Linked DNA regions of Drosophila melanogaster. The protein of the gene in region 3 interacts with the protein of the main gene of each other region in a pairwise test. Each region holds a gene or a part of one and is shown on either strand. Other genes may lie near its edges.

Region 1 (4,866 bases), on a different chromosome or scaffold from region 3:
TCCAAAGAATTACGAACGATGGTAATGGCGATGGTAATGGTGATGGTATATATGACTCTATCCTATGGCTCGGTATCTGAACGGATTTGCTGAACTTTGCTGTTACGGAGGAGGAGGAGGAGGAGGAGGAGGAGGGTTTCTTCTCTTTAAGAATTGAATCTGGCGAAAAGTGTGCAAATTGTGCGCGAGTTTCTGTGCCCGAGCGGATAAATTTGAATTCTGCATTTAGTTGGCTTATTGAGTTTGCATCCGTATATCTGTCGTGCTCGCTGGCAGCTCCTTTTAAGCCAACTATTCCAATGACTAATTTCATTTGGCTGCAGTTTGCCCGAAAGCCAAAGAGGCGTCATGCGAAGACAGCAAAAGGGGGTGGGGGAATACACAGGGAATATTTGCTTACTATTCAGATATTTATTAGATTAGTCTTCGATTTGTTGTCAGGTTATAGATACATCTTTATTAAAAAGAATGCTAAAAGATAGATAGAATATTTAATTCTTTTATGTTTCGATTTAAGCCAAATCTTTTATGGACTTATTCTGTTAAATATCTATAAGATAGTTCAGAAATAAAACTAGAAGCTGAACATTGATTTCCTGCAGAATATGACTTTATTTAGTTCAGTTATATGTAAAACTGCTTAGATCCATGCATTTGAAATTAAATAACTTCTTGCAAAGTCGCGCATAAACGTTTCTTTATTTTCAGGCCTTATTGTCTTAGTGTCTTATAAATGGCTAATTTCTTGAGTTTTTTTTTCTGTGTGTAGATGTAATATGGGCACTTGGGCAGCAGCACTTTTGGGCCACTTGTTTCTCGAAATTGAAAACCATGAGGCGCATTTAAAAAGATGAAGTGACAACTGGCATACTGATGACGACACACAGGAGAAGGGCTTGGGGGGTGCACGGGTAGGGGGAAGGGTGAGGGGAGGAGCTGTAAGTGTGTGTGTGGAGCGTATAAATATAACAAGTGCCAAGTGAAATATGTACATAAATAAGCCAGCGCAGAGATACTATGCGACGTAGACACAGATACAGTGCTCACTGGCCCTAAAAGATACATTTTGAAATAGTATCTGTTATGTTTGTGAAAGTCAACTGAGTGCATTTTCTATTAGTTAAGATGTTTTTAGTGGTTCTCATAAGAACTTTTGAAGGATTATAAAAAGTCCATTGAATTGCACCTTTTTTGCAACTTTAAATGGTTTTCTAGATTTCAAAATACATCTTTTCAACGAATTTGTTCTCCTGTTTTTTTTTAATGTTTTTCTTATTGGTTCTTCACTGTACCGCTTTTGTCTATTATCGCCGTTTTATGTGTCTGTTTCTACCGCTGCATTTGTGCATTTTTGCATTTCTGCCCTCTTCCAGCAGCTGCGACTAATTGTTGAAAGAAAAAAATGTATTAAACGAAAAAACAAAAAACAAGAGGAATGGAAAAAATGTTGGCGGATAAAAAAAAGGACTAGGGGACAAAAGGAGGCAGGATGCAAAGGACTTGTTCGCGCTGCTGACTGCGAAAAGTGCAACAAACTTTGACAAAATAAAACGAAAATTCCGCCCAAAGGTACAAACGGGGCGTGGCAATGGGGGCGGCGAACCGATGAAGCGCCCCTTCTTGCAACTTCAAATCGCAAGCACACACACAACCACACACACAACCACACACACACAGACAGTCAGCCGCAGCTGGAGATTCTCACACACATGTGAAAAAATCGCGAGTTGCATGAAAAAAAAGAAACTGCATTGAAATTGAAGCACTCTCATTAGGAGGAAGAAGCAGAAGAAGTTGCAGCAGGAACCAGAAGAAGAAGAAGAAGAGGACGCAGAAGAAGAAGGTGATGAAGACCAGGAGACGAGAAAGCGCAAAAAGTGGTAACCGCAGCAAAAATAATTCCCATTTTTCGAAAGCGATGGCAAAAGCAAAGATAACAGCTTAACTGTTGATGGAAAATGCATTAAAATAAGTACATAAGCTGCATACAAATTTCAGGCACTAAACTGAATAAATATTAATGGGATTTCAAAATGTTGAACAAATATTACGGGTAAATCATAATAATAATATATTCACTGGCAGCTTTTTGTTGTTCACGCTTAAATGTGCAAGCTGTAGTGTTAATAAAAACGTTACTTAAACTTAAACATAAACTTAAACTACAATATGATTAACATTGCTTTCCAGTTCGAAAACGTAACAAGCTGCAATATCTCAATATTTTACGAAAGGGCCACGTAGGTGACGAAAAAAGTACAAAGTTGAAAATCAAATTGAATGACACGAAACAACTCATCAAAAACTTTTAAGATAAGCCTCTTACTAGTTCAATCTAGATTTTTACTTGCAACAGCGGCTAAAATATCAATAAATTAACTGATTAGGCAAAACATATATAGAACGAGGAATTTATATTAGTTAAAAGGTAAATAGTAAACCAATTTAGGGACGAATGCAACAAAGTAAACAGCGCAGATAAATAATGCTTCAGAATGTAATTGGCTAAGCGGCATATTTACCTGATTTGTTGTTGTTTTGGCGGCAGGTTTCCCATTAAACATTGTAAAGCAACAACAACAACAATAACAGCTGTCTCTCTTTCTCTCCCGCTTTCGCACTCCTGTTGTTATTGCTGTCTCGTTCTGGCAAGGAGTTTCGGTGCTGTTGTTGTTGCTGCCGCTAACTATTGTTGCTTGCACTTGTTGTATTTTTGTCACACAAACAAACAAACACGCACACACGCTCGCACACAATGTTGCACGTTGCGTGTGCCCTGCTGCTGCTGCTTCTTCTTCTTTCGTTACTTGCCGCGCCGCACGCTCTTCCTCTTACACTTCCCAAAGCCCCTTACCAATTGACCAATGGCATCGGAATCGGAATCGTAAACAAATGCAGCGCGCTCGCACTCTTCGTCACTCGAATGCTTTCGTCACGTCACCGTGTTCTCGCTTCTTTTTGCAGCAAATATGCACTCGATTCGCACTTTTCGCGACGACAACCGATTTTGGAGCTGTTTGGGGGCAGAGTGTGACCGTCGGGCGCAGCGGGCTGCACGTCGACTGCGGCGTCGCTGAAATTACCTAAAATATCTGTATGGCGCAATGGTGTGGCGTGGTGTTTGGTTACTACGCTGGAACGGTCACACTGGAAAAGAAAGCTCAATGCATTTAGCCAAGACAGGAACCAGTCGAAAGCTTAAATCGCCAGCTGTCGGCGGTTAGGCAAACTGCTACGGCTCGACTTTCTCCAGCTCGTCATAGGTGGCGCCACGGTTAGTGCAGATAATCATCTCATAGGTGGCGCCAATGATAGTGTTAAGATTAAGGCCTTTTAGCAACTTTCCTATAAAATAAATTGCGAAAAAAAGTATTTCCATGGGAAACTTTGTGCTGTCAAATAAGTGCTTAAAACATGTATTGATTACAACGTGTGCACATTAATAAGCTATGAAATAAAACGCTACGCCCGCCACTAATGAATTGACTTTAACTTTATGAAACGTTTTAATAAACTTTTCAATATACAAAGAAAGTTACAAAGAGTTTCGATACCTATAACTTTTTACCTCGGCAGACGAAAGGTCGAGTTATAAAGCATCGAGTGCATATATGTACACATTCTGATAACTGCGATATCTGTCTGAGTTTTACGATGCAGTGTTTGTTAAGTCAGTGGGCGAAGGCAAATGGTTAATTATGTTACAAGTTGACGCAAATTTATGGCCAACTAATCAATTGATTGTTGCTAATTGATAACCGATGTGATAACATAAGGCCCGCATATAGAAGAAATTCCTCACATCCGCAATACCTCGAAATTTCTATGACAACCACTTTGAACTATTATCACCAAAACTCTATGAAAGGGGTACTTTTTTTTTAGAATTACTGGGTGCATTACCATAAATTTTATCAGTTACGTTGCTCGATGTCGATCGAATTAAACTTAAATTTATACTTTAATCTGTATACTTCTGTTGTGTGTGTAAAAAATAGATTTATTAAAAAAAAAATGGAATAAAGGCAAAGCTGTCCGTCTAGATCCTCACCAGAACCTCGTAATTCTCCAGACGCACCTCCTCGCCACCGAATGGGATGTAGATGCAGCCGTGCGAGGGATGGATCTTGCCCACACTCAAGCTGTCGCAGTAGATGGCCCTGCCGACGTAGAGGGGCTCCCCGTCGACATTCGGACCGGAGGACAGGGCTCCGGGAGCCACATTTCCGTGCGAGGCCGGAACCCAACGGAATCCGGATCCCGTCAGCACCTGGACGTCGGTGAGCTCGTGCTCCGCCTGGGCATAGGCGGCATAGGCTTTCCCCTTCGCCGGCACCACTTTGGCTGGCAGCAGATCACCATTGCGGAACACCCTGCCCACGTAGATGGTGTCCCCGTTGGAATCGTGCCCAGCAACCAGAGCTCCATCCGGAATATTTGTTGCGGTGGTGTCGATCCAACGTTCCGGCTGGCACAGCACCTCGTAGGCAAAGATCTTAACCTCATCGGAATCGTAGGGAATATACAGGCAGCCGTGGGATGGATGCACCTTGCCCATGGTTAAGCTGCCGGCATGATAACCCCTGCCCGCATACAAATACTCGCCGTCCACATTCCGACCAACTTTGACGGCGCCCGGCGGCACCTCCCCGTTCTCCGCCGACAGCCACTCGTAGTTGTAGCCGGAAAGCACCTCGTAGTTCTCCAGCTCGTGCTCCTCGCGCGCATACGCCACGTAGGCCTTGCCCTTGTTGGGAATCACCTTCGCCGGCAGCATGTCGTTGGAGAAGAAGGCACGGCCCACGTAGATGGTGTCCCCGTCCGAATCGTGACCAGCCACCACGGCATTCGGCGGCACGCTGCCGT
Region 2 (4,903 bases), on a different chromosome or scaffold from region 3:
GTATTCCCTCAGTGTATCAACCAGTATCTATCGGCTACGTAGAACACTGAAGCAACAGCAACAACATGACACGAGTGGACGGCGAGCAAACAGAGAACAACGCACACTCTCCGCCGCACACACACAGATACTAACACGGACACACACCAATGCGCCAATACAAACACACACAGCTGGCTGCTCAACAGCAGGGAACTTTTTATTGTTGTTGCTGGCAACGAACAACAAATAAGACAAACAATGCACACGCACACGAATGACGAGTGTTTTCGAGTCGGAGAAACGGCAACTGCGCGGTACGAAATGCAAAGATACAGATACAATGAGTTGGTTGTCGGTTGTGGAGGGTAGGAAAGGGACACAGGCCAACAAAAATAGTTGCACTGCATCAAGAGTGTTGCCTGTCGTTAGAGGCTAGTCACCCACCCCGAAAGGATCTCTCAAAGGATCAGCGGACTACTAGGTAATCCTGATCGAAATCGATTGATTCAAATGGATTTTCAAAAGATATATCATGTTCAAGATCTTTTTGTTGGGCAATACAATTTTTACATATGTATGTTGATTGTTATGTTGAATATAACTTCAGGCTTATTATTACTGTCTAATGGTAATGTTTCTATTTATTTCCACGTCCATTAACATGTATAATTGGTTTTCCCCAAAATATGTTAGTGAACAGGTGACAGTCGCAAATAGAAAATACACATTTTTTACGCTGTAACTCTGACAAAAAAAATAAAACACAGGAACCCAAATAGTTTACCTGAAAACTTACCTGCGAATTTCCAGTGATCATAATTCCATTGTGCGCTTCTTCTTCTTCTTTGCTCTAACTCTCAGGGAACATTGAAACAACAACAGTTGCTTACTCAGCACCGCACACAAACATAAACTGCGCTCTCACGGACACTACAACAGCTGTCGCTCTCAGAACCAACAACAAAGCGAGCAAACAAAAATCATGTTGTTGTTGCTCACAAAGCTTTGCAATTTCTCTGCCGCTAACATCGCTGCTTTTGTGTAGTTGTTGCTGCCGCCCGAGTTGCCAACAAGCTTTCCAACAACATTTGTTTACATTTCAAATTTATTAGGCGAGCTTTTCGGACATTTGAACAAGCTTCGTGGGCTACTCGCTAGGTGGCGCATGCTACTTCCGGTATAGATTTGAACAGCTATTTTTTTTAATTTACTTCAGAAATAAAATAAGCATTTATGCATATTTAAATATAAATAGATAAATATACCTGTTTCAGTTTCGTTAGAATGCACAATTTACTCTTGACTAAATGACTTCCGAGCAAACAAAATATTTAAACAATATTGTTAATAAAAAATAAGAAATGATTACTTAAGCTCTTACGTTTCCCTCCAACGGTCATTTGATATGTCATTATCCAAACACTCATATTGTTATTCACACGCGAAAAGCTCGACAAAGCTCAAAAGGACTCACTCCTTAGGCCAAAACTGTCAGGGTTTATGTATTCCGCCTGACAGCAGACCACCAACCCAGTTATTTCCAGCACTTTAACGATTTGTTTACAACTTTGTTGCCCTGCAATTTACCGCTAGCATACGGACCTGCCAGCCAGCCCAGCTTTTCACCCCTTTCCGACCGCTTGGAAAAGCTTTTCTCGGCGGGCAGGATGTCTTGTCCTGCGTGTGCTCAAAAATTCAATAAAAAGGAGGCTCGTTTCTGTTGTGGCCTACATGCCACAGCAAGGACGAGCAATCGGTTACCGAGCCGAACGCGGCCCGAGGAAAACTTGGTCACCGGGTGGGTAATGGGAAATGGAAAAGGGCCGAAAATGGGGGCGGGTGGCGAAGCAAGGAGCAAGGAGAGAGCTTCCAAGTGCAGCGGAGCTCAGTTGCCATAGGACAGTCGAGGCGAGTGCTCGTCCTTGGTCGCAACGGGCTCCCGGAAAAGCGGTCCATCGGCTGTCGAGTGTCATTGTTTTGGTTACGCGACTGCCCCGCTAGTGTTGGTGACCATCTGTGTGCGCTTAAAAATATATTCGACATGAATTATTTACGCAAAACGAGTGCTGGAAAGTTTTGAAAAGTGCGGAGAACGAGTGCGGAGTTGAGTAAGCGGAAAGTTTTGACTCGAAGAACACTTTGTCTGACAATTTGCAGCGGCATCAAGGATGCAGTCTCCTTTGCACTGGGATGAAGAATGCATTTTCCGAAGCGCAGTATGTGACTCTTTCTCTTTTCAGTGAAAAACCCCCCTCCATTTTCGCGCTCTGTCGCTCTCTCTCTCTCTCCCGCTCGCTTCCTATTGTTTTTCTCAGAGTGTAGAGTTTCGATTTCGTTAGAAAATCGAAACAAAAGCGAACCAGGCTCTCGAGGAATTGTGGGAGTCGTTGCTGCGGCTACCTGTAGATGCCACATAAACACACACAGATACGAGCGCAAGGATGCGAGTGTGTGCGAGTCCTTGAACGAGGCTTTCGGTTGCCCACCCACATGCCACATCCGTATCCGTATCCATGTCCATGGCTGCCTTTCACTGCCCGCTTCCGACTCTAATTAACTTATGATTCAAGGTCCAATACGCTGCCACTGAAGGTTAAACATGACGACCCAGCGATTTTCGGTGGGGGTTTTTTCGTAAGAAACTTTTAAACAGCCCGCTGGCAGCTGTAATTGAGCGAATTCCGCGGAAGCTGCACTAAACTTTTACCAAGAATCGGCAGGAGTCAAGTTTTTGCCGCGACCTAACTCGAAAGTCGTGTAATGCGATAAAGTGGAAACTTAACCAGGGATCATCTAGTAGTTAAGCGCACACAAGTCGTAATTTTATTTGGCTGCCAGGACCCCAGAGACTCGTCGGCAATTAAGGCTGGCCAAACAATAAGCCACTGGGCGAAAACCCAAAAGGAACAAAAAAACAATTAACGTTCTAGAGTGGAAAACCCGCATTACGCATACGCCACGTCGGCAGTCTGGCAACTTTGAGGTGCGACCTCCGGGGGCTGTGGAAAAGTAGCGGGGGCGCCGGAAAAGCTCTTTCCCGCTGACCACCGGCGGTGCCATCATACTCTCTCACCTCCCCGAGAAAAATCCCGCCCCAAAAAATGCAGCAGAGAGCGGTTTCTTGCCGCTTTTTTTTTTTGTTTTTTGGCTGCTCCGCCGAAAAACATTTTCATTTCTCGCCTGAGCAGAAATTTCAATGATTTCCCTAGCTCAGTGTGAAACGAACCAACAACTCAAACGAAACGAACGCAAACGCGCGCGCGAGAAAAACAAACTAGAATAGAATAGAAGAAATTAACCTCTCCGCCGAAAAGGGAAAACCCCCAAAAAATATATAAAATAACACACGAAACGCTGAGGTCGGGGGCCCTAACCCAATGCTAACTGTAAACAATAATCGAACAAACGAATTTTTAAATTAACAGCGAATGAGTAATACCTGAGCGATTTATTAATCAGAAGCCGTGCGAGCAACAAAGAATCCACAAGTAGCTGGCCCACGGATAGATAAATAACTGCACAGATAATTGCTGGTACACGGTACTGGGCTCTATAAATAGCATCGAAATAATCGCGGAGACAATTGCAGGGCACTGGTGCAAAGTGAATGCGACTGAGTGCTGCCGGGCGGAACGCCGAGGATCTGTGAGTAGATAGAATAATATCCCCCAAAACCGCCGCATCCCGATCGCCTGGCTGCGAAATCGAAATAACAAACTTCAGTCACCTTGCGTTCTGCGTCACACACTCGGATACTTTGGGGAATGGGAGTCGTGTGGCATGGGTGTTTGCCTTCTCCATCCTCGCAACTACAGTAGAGCTTCCATGGCTTCAGCTGCACCTATTTCAAATGTCTGAGCCTATTTTGTATTGTAATTTAACTACACATGCTATTTATTTTCTGATCTTCCTGGTCAAATATGATATATTAATTAGTTTTTTAATTATCAATTCAAATTTTTATAGAGGTCATTAAATCTTCTAGTTCTCAGCACTTCTTCAATGGGATATTTATTTATATTTATTTAGCATAAAAGCTTTAAAGTGTACACTCAGTGTGAAGCTTCACTGTATTTGCCATTTGCCGTGTTGTTACTGCTGGTACTGGTACCACACGGCGTATGGGTGATGGCGAGCGGGCCAGCGGTTGGATGAGTGGTGCACACTTTTTATAGCCAGCAACAGTCACACAAGCCGCACAATCAAGCGCTCGTCTCGGTGTTTATGTCAATTTGAATTTTGCATGCGGCCAACAAACTTGAATGTGTCCTTTATGTTGGTGTTGTTGCTTGCGTTCTGAAATGTATCGGTAGGAAAAGGAGGTGTGGAAATGGGGGGGGGGTCGGTTTGGGGATACCGGAAGCTAACTAGAACTGCGCTTCATTGCAACTTTGTGTGCGACCTTTTGGTTTTGGAATGTGTGGGCAGTGGGCGGGGCACTTGTCGGGCGGAAACGGATATCCCGTGTGCTCTTTGCCTAGTTCGCCATCGCCGCCAAGCGCGTCTCCTGTTTGTCATTTCATCAACCTTCTTCTGGCTCCTAGCAGCTCCTCCTTCTGGTGTCCTTGCACATTTGCTGCGCAGGAAATTTTAAATCGAGTATGTGCCCACGGGTTGTCTGGTTGCATTTTGCTGTTTTTGCGGCTTTCTTGTTTGCTCTGCTTTCTGGGTGAGTCCTGATTTTTTTTCGGATTTCCCATCCTGTTGGCCACTGGGTCAGATTTGTTAGTTCACAAAGTTCACAACAGACGCAATAAAAGGAATTTTTAAAGCCACATTAAGATGGAACTGAAACTTTAAAGATTTTTCAAAAATTGTTTAAAAGTATAATTTTTCCGCATTTTTAAATGCTCGATATTTTTTGCAGTGTGTCGCGTTGGGTCGAAATGTATCTTCTACACGGCAGCAGAAAGAAGCCAAT
Region 3 (4,705 bases):
TACAGCATTCGCAGTGGCCAAGGGGCGAGGGGTATACCTCTAACATAGAAGAGAGTGGACTTTAAACATAAATATTTACCGCTACCTTCTACACAGTAGTTTATTTCGTGAGAAAGAAACACAATATAAGGGTAGCTTTTAGAAAAGCTGTACTTTTTTCTATTAAAACTTTTCAAAATATTAAATGAAACCGTATATATTATTATTCACATTTTTATTAGGATTTCTAGCAAGCTACTACATATTACTAATCCAATCTTGCTTGTAAACGTTTGCTAATATAATTATATTTACGTTGAAAACAGTGAAATGCGCTACATTAGCACCGCCGACGGGGGAACCAATTAAGTTTTTAAGTGCACTGAACGCGGAAAGCATAAAAACAAGTGCGTAAAGTGGGCGCAACGTTTTTCGTTTATTATGCAAAAAGAGGGGGGGGGAGGTAGGGGCTTTACTTTGGCAAAGACTGGCTTGCAGCGCTTGAGAAATTTTCAGTACGACTAAAGCTTAGGCTGCGCTTTAAGGTTTTTTCCTCGTTTTTCCATTTCGTGTTTGGTTACACTCCACTTCGTTCCACTTCATTCCATTTCCATTCCACAAAACTCCAACTTCGCTCCACTGCGTAACAAAATTACAAGACACACTCACACAAACTTGCAACAAGCCGACAACAACAACAACAGCAATAAGGGAAGGGGGGAAATTGTCATGTTTCTGATTTCAATGCAATCGAAATATATATTGAAAAACGTATGTGGTGCACTCGATACTCCCCAAAAAAGTTGGGGGACTTTTCGCTTACTTTGCCTTCACATTCACATTCGCGTTTGGCTGTATTTTCCTTGGTTTTTGTTTTTCCCTTTGCACCGATGTTCGTTTTCGCGATAAAAAGGTGTCTGCTACATTTTCACGCGCCTTTCATTTGCCTGCGAGCCGCTTTTCATGCATATTTCCACGATCTTCGGCGGTCGCTGCACTTAAACGTTAGACAGCCATTTTGCATTTGTTTCTATTAGTAACTATTGCGGAGGAGAAACAACAACGAATTAAACATTTCACGCTTTAGGCCATTTTCGCCTGCGCGAACAGTGTGACCGTTTCGCAGAAGAATGAACAAAGCATGAACTATTAAGGTCACATTTCAAACTGTTTACATTTACAGATTTAAATATTTTGGGAAAATCATAGCCAAAGTAAATCAAAAACCTGGAATATCCTAATTTTCAATTACCCACTTTCATAGTAATAATTAAATAGACATGTTAAAATAATGTAAACAACCACAAATTTATACTTTAAAATGAAATCTACTTTAAATATGGTGATTATAGCTGAAACATTGGGGATAATAGTTAGTTAGAATATCTAAATTTTTAATTTTTAACTTTCATAATAACAATCAAAAGGTTATTTGAACATTATGTAAACACTGAAACTAAATTACTTTTAACATTCAAGTGAAGTTTTTATTTTATTGGGAAAATTGGCAATAGAACTTATCCAAAATATCGATAGGCCACTTTGGTTTGCGTATAGGCTGCAAATCCAAGCAGGTTGCAAGCCATGCTAAGCCTCATCAAAGTTATTCAACCACTTCTTTGGTATCTTCTAAGGGTCACCACTTTTCGGTTTTTAGCCTTTCTATACCCGCTGGTATATTTGAACGGCCGAGCTAATGGTCGCACTGATACAAGAATTTTACGTTGGACGGACGCCTCGATGCACAAATAAAATTTTTAAAACAAATCGGGTGCAACGGCCAATCGCGCAAACAGTGGCTCAAATCGGTGGATTTTAGCACGGGAAATTTTAAAAAAATTTGAAAAATATAGTACAATCGAGCGGGTGTTTTGAAAAAGTGCAAAAGGTCGAAAAGTGCAGGCGACACTGCAGTTCGGGGTTCCTTGGAAAAAGAGCATCTCCAAGTGGTTGAAAAACCAGTTAAATTGCAGCTACTTTTTAAGGAGTTACCTATTTAAGAATATCAATCCGCGCCATGGGTCTCAACGGCTGCTGTTCGTGCGTCAAATATCTGATGGTCCTTATAAACATTTTATTCTGGGTATGTAGATTCCAGCAGCAGCAGCAACAACAACAATGCGAGATTCGGTTCTCTCCCATCACAACAACAACTGGAACACACGGACCTCCTTTTCGCGCGCGTGTGTGTGGGTGTTGCGTGAGCGAATGTGTGTGTGTTGTGTATTCCCTACGCCCCTCTTTCTCACGCTTGGCGCGCGGGCGGAGGGAGGAGCCGTGCGCACGCTCTTTGGAGTCCTACCGCTCTTTCAGTCCCTCTTTCCACTCTCTCGATCCCAGAGGTGCCCAAAACATAAGTTGAAACTTATTTAAGTACGGCTTGAAATATTTAATCGAAAAGGAAGTAAAAAATATAAATAAATAAATAATAAAATAAATATAATAATATATTAACTTAAATATTTTTTTTTTAATGAGCGGGCTTAAAAACATTAAATGGACAAGATTATATAAATATTCAAGTACGCGGTTAATTAAAAACATTAATAGAAGGGTTTTTCTTTTTGAAATTAAACAAATCGGTTTTGTTTGTTATGAACTATTTGACTTTAAATTATTTTCTACCATTTATAACTTCAAAACTTCAACTGGCTTTTAAAAGCGACATCACTGTATCTCTCCATCTCCCGCTCGCACTCCCTACCGCTCTGCTCGTACTCCCGCATAAAAACAATAGAAGTTCCGTTGTGGGAGGGGACACACACACACACAGACAGATAAACATTTAAGCATCTCCATTCCCACCTCCCACTGTTTTCTTTTCCCTCCACATGTTTGTTCAGTTGTTTTTCTTTTGCTTCTGTCTCTTCCTGTCTCTCTTTTTTTGTTTTATTATTTTTATAACGTATACGTGCCGTTGATATTTTTACAAACTTCGGTTGGCTTAATTCGGTAAAAAAGGACCTCTCCTCACCCCAAAAAAAAGGGTTTTACTTTCTTTGGCCAACTTATCTGCTTGTTGTTTTACGCAATTTTCGACTTTCAACATAGCCTCGTTAGGCTTTCAATTGTTTCCATTCAATTACTATCTGCCACAGCGATTGTTTGCGTTTGTTTTGAGTTTCCTTGAGTTTTTCTTGGGGTTTCCTCTTGTCTTCCGCGGCTTGCGAAATCAGTTTCGCTTTTCCTTTGGGCAACAAATTTAAAATTTTGATTCTTATGCGGGCTGATTTCTAATTTTTTTTTCGTTCGTTTGTTGATTGTTGCTGCCTTTTTTCGATTTCTGTCTATAGTATTTATTAGTCAAAAGCTATTTTCGAATACGGGCGAGGAACAACACAAACTTACGCGTCCGTTCAGTTTTTCGTTGTTGTACACAGAAAGAAAATACTGATGCCTAGCCAAGTTTCGTGTTTGGAAACTTTCGAATACCTTTCAATTATTTTTCGTTTATTGTATATATGTCATGTAAAAAAAATTAAAATTAACCGATCCCAATAAGATTATATCCAATAATTGGTTTCTGTGTAATGTTCCTTGATCTGTGATGTTTTAGTATTCATCGTTGTTGTTGTTGGATGCACAGTGGTGTGTTTGATTTCAGTGGAGGAACAATGAGCGATAGAAATTGTGATGTGTTTGTGATGCAGTTCGTTTCACTAATCGTTTGAACTATTTTTAGAGCGATTTATGGATGAAAGTGCGTCAGATATTATTTTATATAAGACTTTTTATACATTGTTTTGAGGCTATTCTTAGCCAGGGCATGTTATCAATTACCCCACAAAGCCATAATAAATTTAATAATAGTATTTTTATATAACTTCGCAAAAAATGACCACTGTCCGATTAGTTTTGAATCTCGCTCTCCACTGTGCATCGATTTCCAAACATTTCCATTTTCATCGTCGCCGTGGGGCATCGTGATCAAACGCCACGATCTCTGAGGACGCTGACGCTCCAATGGGGCCGATATCCCACATCCAAGATGCTGGGGGAGGCCTATGCCATAAGCGTCTAAAATGCTAAACGGCCGGCGCTGTCGTCATTGAAGTTGACAGTGACCAAAACTGAAAGATTTCCAAATATTCGGTCGACCATCTGACAATCCTATCCTGTCCACCCACTAAAAAAACCATTTATTTCAGCACAGTCAGACTTCCATAGTGCAGAATTCTTAAATTCCTGAAAAAAATGTAATCTTTTGCTGTGAATAAAATAATATTTAAAAATATTTCTCCAAGTAACGAAGCTGGCCTGTATCTATTTTCAATTCGCTGTGACATGTCACATCTACATACTTAATTCGCTGTGCTATTTTTCACTCAATTATTCATGAGTGGCGCTTCATTCATTTTTCAGTTTGTATTTTCAGCTTATGGCTGATGCATGATGGCTGTTGGCTGCGATTTGCCATCGATGCGGTTAATTGTGGGACAAAACTGTGACTGGACATGCAATGCAAGCCCAGCTGCCTTTTGGCCCCATTTTATTTTTTTTTTTGCAATTTAGCAGCAGTAAAATGCTCTCTCGTTTTCCGCTTTCGACGCCTCGGCTCTGAAAACTGGGTCAACGAAGGACTCTGTACATTTATTGGCCCATTCGGCAGGATTTTTGTTTGTTTGTCCTGGACACGCGACATAGTGTCAGATGTGTAAAAATATATGTGTGTGAAAACGTTCGGGGAATCGTAAAAATTCCAACAAACAGAGCTACAAACAAGGCG
Region 4 (2,985 bases), on a different chromosome or scaffold from region 3:
TCATGGTGAGCAAATGCTACAATAGATGCCTTGCTACTGATGCTGTCTTGAAGAACGAAAGCCAGCTTTTATAGTAGTCTTCTCAACTGGGTTTATCCTCTTTTGCAAATTTTTGTCAACAGTTTTGGCCAAAACAAAGGGAGCGTTTTTGCAGAACAAAAAACCCGCAAGTTTGTCAATTGTTCATTGTGCCCAATTGTTCAAACAGTCAAGTAAGTTAAGTGCAAATATATAATATAACTTTTAAGAAATGCCCAATTATGTATGTCCAATTTATATTCGCTACGCAAAAGATATGAAAGATTTTGTTACGTAATTGCTTAACTGTGGTAATTAGTATAAAAGACCACGGCCTCTGGCTGCAGACATCAGTTGTCCAGCCACTGGCCATCCAACATGCGCTACTCCTGTGTTCTTTTACTTCTGGCCACCGTTGCCTGTCTGCTAATCCCACAGACAGGTGGCTCCACGGCCACCACAACCTCAACTTCTGCTTCGGCTACCACCACCACTTCCGCCTCGGCCACGACAACCACTGCGTCGGATACAACTACTACCACAGCGGCTACCACAACCACTTCGTCCTCCTCCTCAAAGAGTAAAAAGAAGAAGAGGACGTATCACTATACACGTCATGTTTATAGGCCAAAGCGGATACGACATATCTATAGGCACAAGGCCGACGACGACGAAAGCTCTACCGATCGCACCAGCACACGCAGCCGTCGTCGTCGCCGCAGCAGTAGCAGCAGTAGCAGCAGTGGCAGCACCAGTAGCCGCAGTGGTAACAGTCGCATCCGCCGCAGGAGAGCCCGAAGTGCCCGACGCCTGTCTTAGTGACCACATCTTGTACAACAAACCAACTGATCTGATCGTGACGCCTTTGAAAATGTAGTTTTTCTTTTTGGTTTTCTTTTTTCCGTTCAAAACACTTAAGGCAAATAAAATGAATATTTCGATATTAGTTCATTCTGCTTATCAATGCCGCTTAAAGCATTTACTTATGCTTTTACTTATGCATTTACTTTACAAAACAGATCGAGATAAGAAGCATCACTTGTTGTTTAAAGTGTATGTCAAGTTCGTTACAACGTATAATTAACCATTGAAATTTTGATCAAATAGTTACTTTCAGAAAAAATATAAAGGGCATACTCCTACAATAAATGCTATATATTATAATCTTAAGTATTATTATCTACCCCAGACGTTATTTAATATAGTTAATAATAGCGCTTTCCTAAGCTACGTACACAATGTGTTTGTTTGTCTATAATTCAGACAAGCTACAAATGAAAGTAAACAATTTATGGCAAAATCATTTTAATTGGTTAATATTTTTCCATTATTTGCTTAAGAGAATAAGTTTAAAGCTGATGTGTTCCGTGTTTTAAAAGCCGTAGTATACTTTTTAGGGGAAATTATTTAAGTGGCAGAATATATAGTTGAATATAGTATAGTATATAGTATATATATAGTAAAGAATCTATATATATAGTATAGTATATAAAGTTGAATTTTTCTGCAGTTTTTACAATGCGTTTATCGTATATAGATTTAACCTAAGTCATTTGCATTTATTTAAAAACCAAGTAACGGTTGACAAAACTAGACTTCCGTTGGCATTAGTGGCTTAAGTGATTTTTATAATAACAGTTAATAAATTTTCGCAAAATGACAAGCTCCATACAAAAATAGATTATCATGCCTCTTGTACATGTGCAAATTTTATCTGTTTAAACAATTGTGCCAATACGAAAAATAGCGAATTTTTGTTTGGCCAAAAATAACATCTTTTCTTTGGCTGACACAGTTTGGCCGAAGAGGATAAACCCAGTAGAGAAGACTACTATAAAAGCTGGCTTTCGTTCTTCAAGACAGCATCAGTAGCAAGGCATCTATTGTAGCATTTGCTCACCATGAAGATCACCGTGGTACTCGTACTTCTCGCCACCTTCCTCGGCTGTGTGATGATCCACGAGTCGGAGGCGTCCACAACCACCACGTCCACCTCCGCCTCGGCCACTACCACTACTTCCGCTTCGGCGACCACCACTACTTCCGCTTCGGCCACCACCACCACTTCCGCTTCGGCCACCACAACAACAGCCTCACCTTCCTCGAGCTCAAAAAAGAAGACTGTCACTCACTATAAGCGAAAGGTCAAGAGGCCAAAGAAGGTCAGGAAAATCACAAGGAGAAGGGGTCTCAGGAGCCGCAATGGTCGCAGCAGTAGAAACCGCAGATCGGAAGAATAAGAGATCCAGGACCAATAGAAAATCCACGCCACTCTCAATGCTGAACCCCAGGAACCAATTGTTTTCTTTTTTTTTTATTTCTTAGTCCATAAGCTTAACTAACACTACAATAATTCTTTTACAAGTCAATTAAGAAATCATAAAAAAATATACATATTTTGTGACATGTCAGTCAAATGTTATTTATTCAGTTATTGGCCAAACAAAATTTAGCAACTAGTTGTTTTGCACAATTGTTTAAACATTTGAAATGCCTTTACTTTATAAATAAATATATGATGCGCATAAATGTGTAAGTTCTTGTATATTTTTTTTAACATCTATAGTGATTTAGCTAATCATTTTATATTAATTTTCAGAACAAATATTTTATTCATGATCATCTGAATGTGAATGCGAAATCTGAAATCCTTTTTAATAAGTTGATTAAAATGCAGACGAGCATTAAACATTTATTCGTCAAGGCTTTTCTGGGCCTCAAAAGTTGCGTTTCCATTGAAATCCATTAGCACAAAACCGAACTCGAGGAAACCCGCAAAAGCCCCAAAAGGAAAATTTGTGCAAGCGGCAAAATACTCGTAAGCAAAAACTTTTCAGCCCAAAAAAGCGAATGGGGAAATTCGAAAAGCTGTTGCCATAGATACCGCACACTCACACACATATATATATATATAGGTACATATATGTATGTATGTATGTATGTGAGAGGAAAAACATTAAGAGAAAA

What was found.
Region 1: the proteins of Tsp96F (region 3) and Tpst interact in a two-hybrid assay, tested with the Drosophila melanogaster proteins (one large-scale study listed by BioGRID).
Region 2: the proteins of Tsp96F (region 3) and jp interact in a two-hybrid assay, tested with the Drosophila melanogaster proteins (one large-scale study listed by BioGRID).
Region 4: the proteins of Tsp96F (region 3) and ng2 interact in a two-hybrid assay, tested with the Drosophila melanogaster proteins (one large-scale study listed by BioGRID).

What each region holds. Positions count from the first base shown.
Region 1 is NC_004354.4:13,561,990-13,566,855, reverse strand, and holds the start of Tpst (tyrosylprotein sulfotransferase), read right to left. Parts: upstream 3,034-4,866; 5' UTR 2,523-3,033; intron 1-2,522. Other genes in the region: CG32633 (uncharacterized protein), read right to left, coding at 4,040-4,866. UniProt on the Drosophila melanogaster protein: Catalyzes the O-sulfation of tyrosine residues within acidic motifs of polypeptides. Has a role in protein secretion.
Region 2 is NT_033779.5:9,563,728-9,568,630, reverse strand, and holds the start of jp (junctophilin), read left to right. Parts: upstream 1-1,880; 5' UTR 1,881-2,198; intron 2,199-3,192; exon of another isoform or gene 3,193-3,627; intron 3,628-4,903.
Region 3 is NT_033777.3:25,878,373-25,883,077, reverse strand, and holds the start of Tsp96F (tetraspanin 96F), read left to right. Parts: upstream 1-1,650; 5' UTR 1,651-1,996; coding exon 1,997-2,062; intron 2,063-4,705.
Region 4 is NC_004354.4:3,239,469-3,242,453, reverse strand, and holds ng2 (new glue 2), read left to right. Parts: upstream 1-1,882; 5' UTR 1,883-1,919; coding exon 1,920-2,258; 3' UTR 2,259-2,428; downstream 2,429-2,985. Other genes in the region: ng1 (new glue 1), read right to left, coding at 1-4; ng3 (new glue 3), read left to right, coding at 397-837.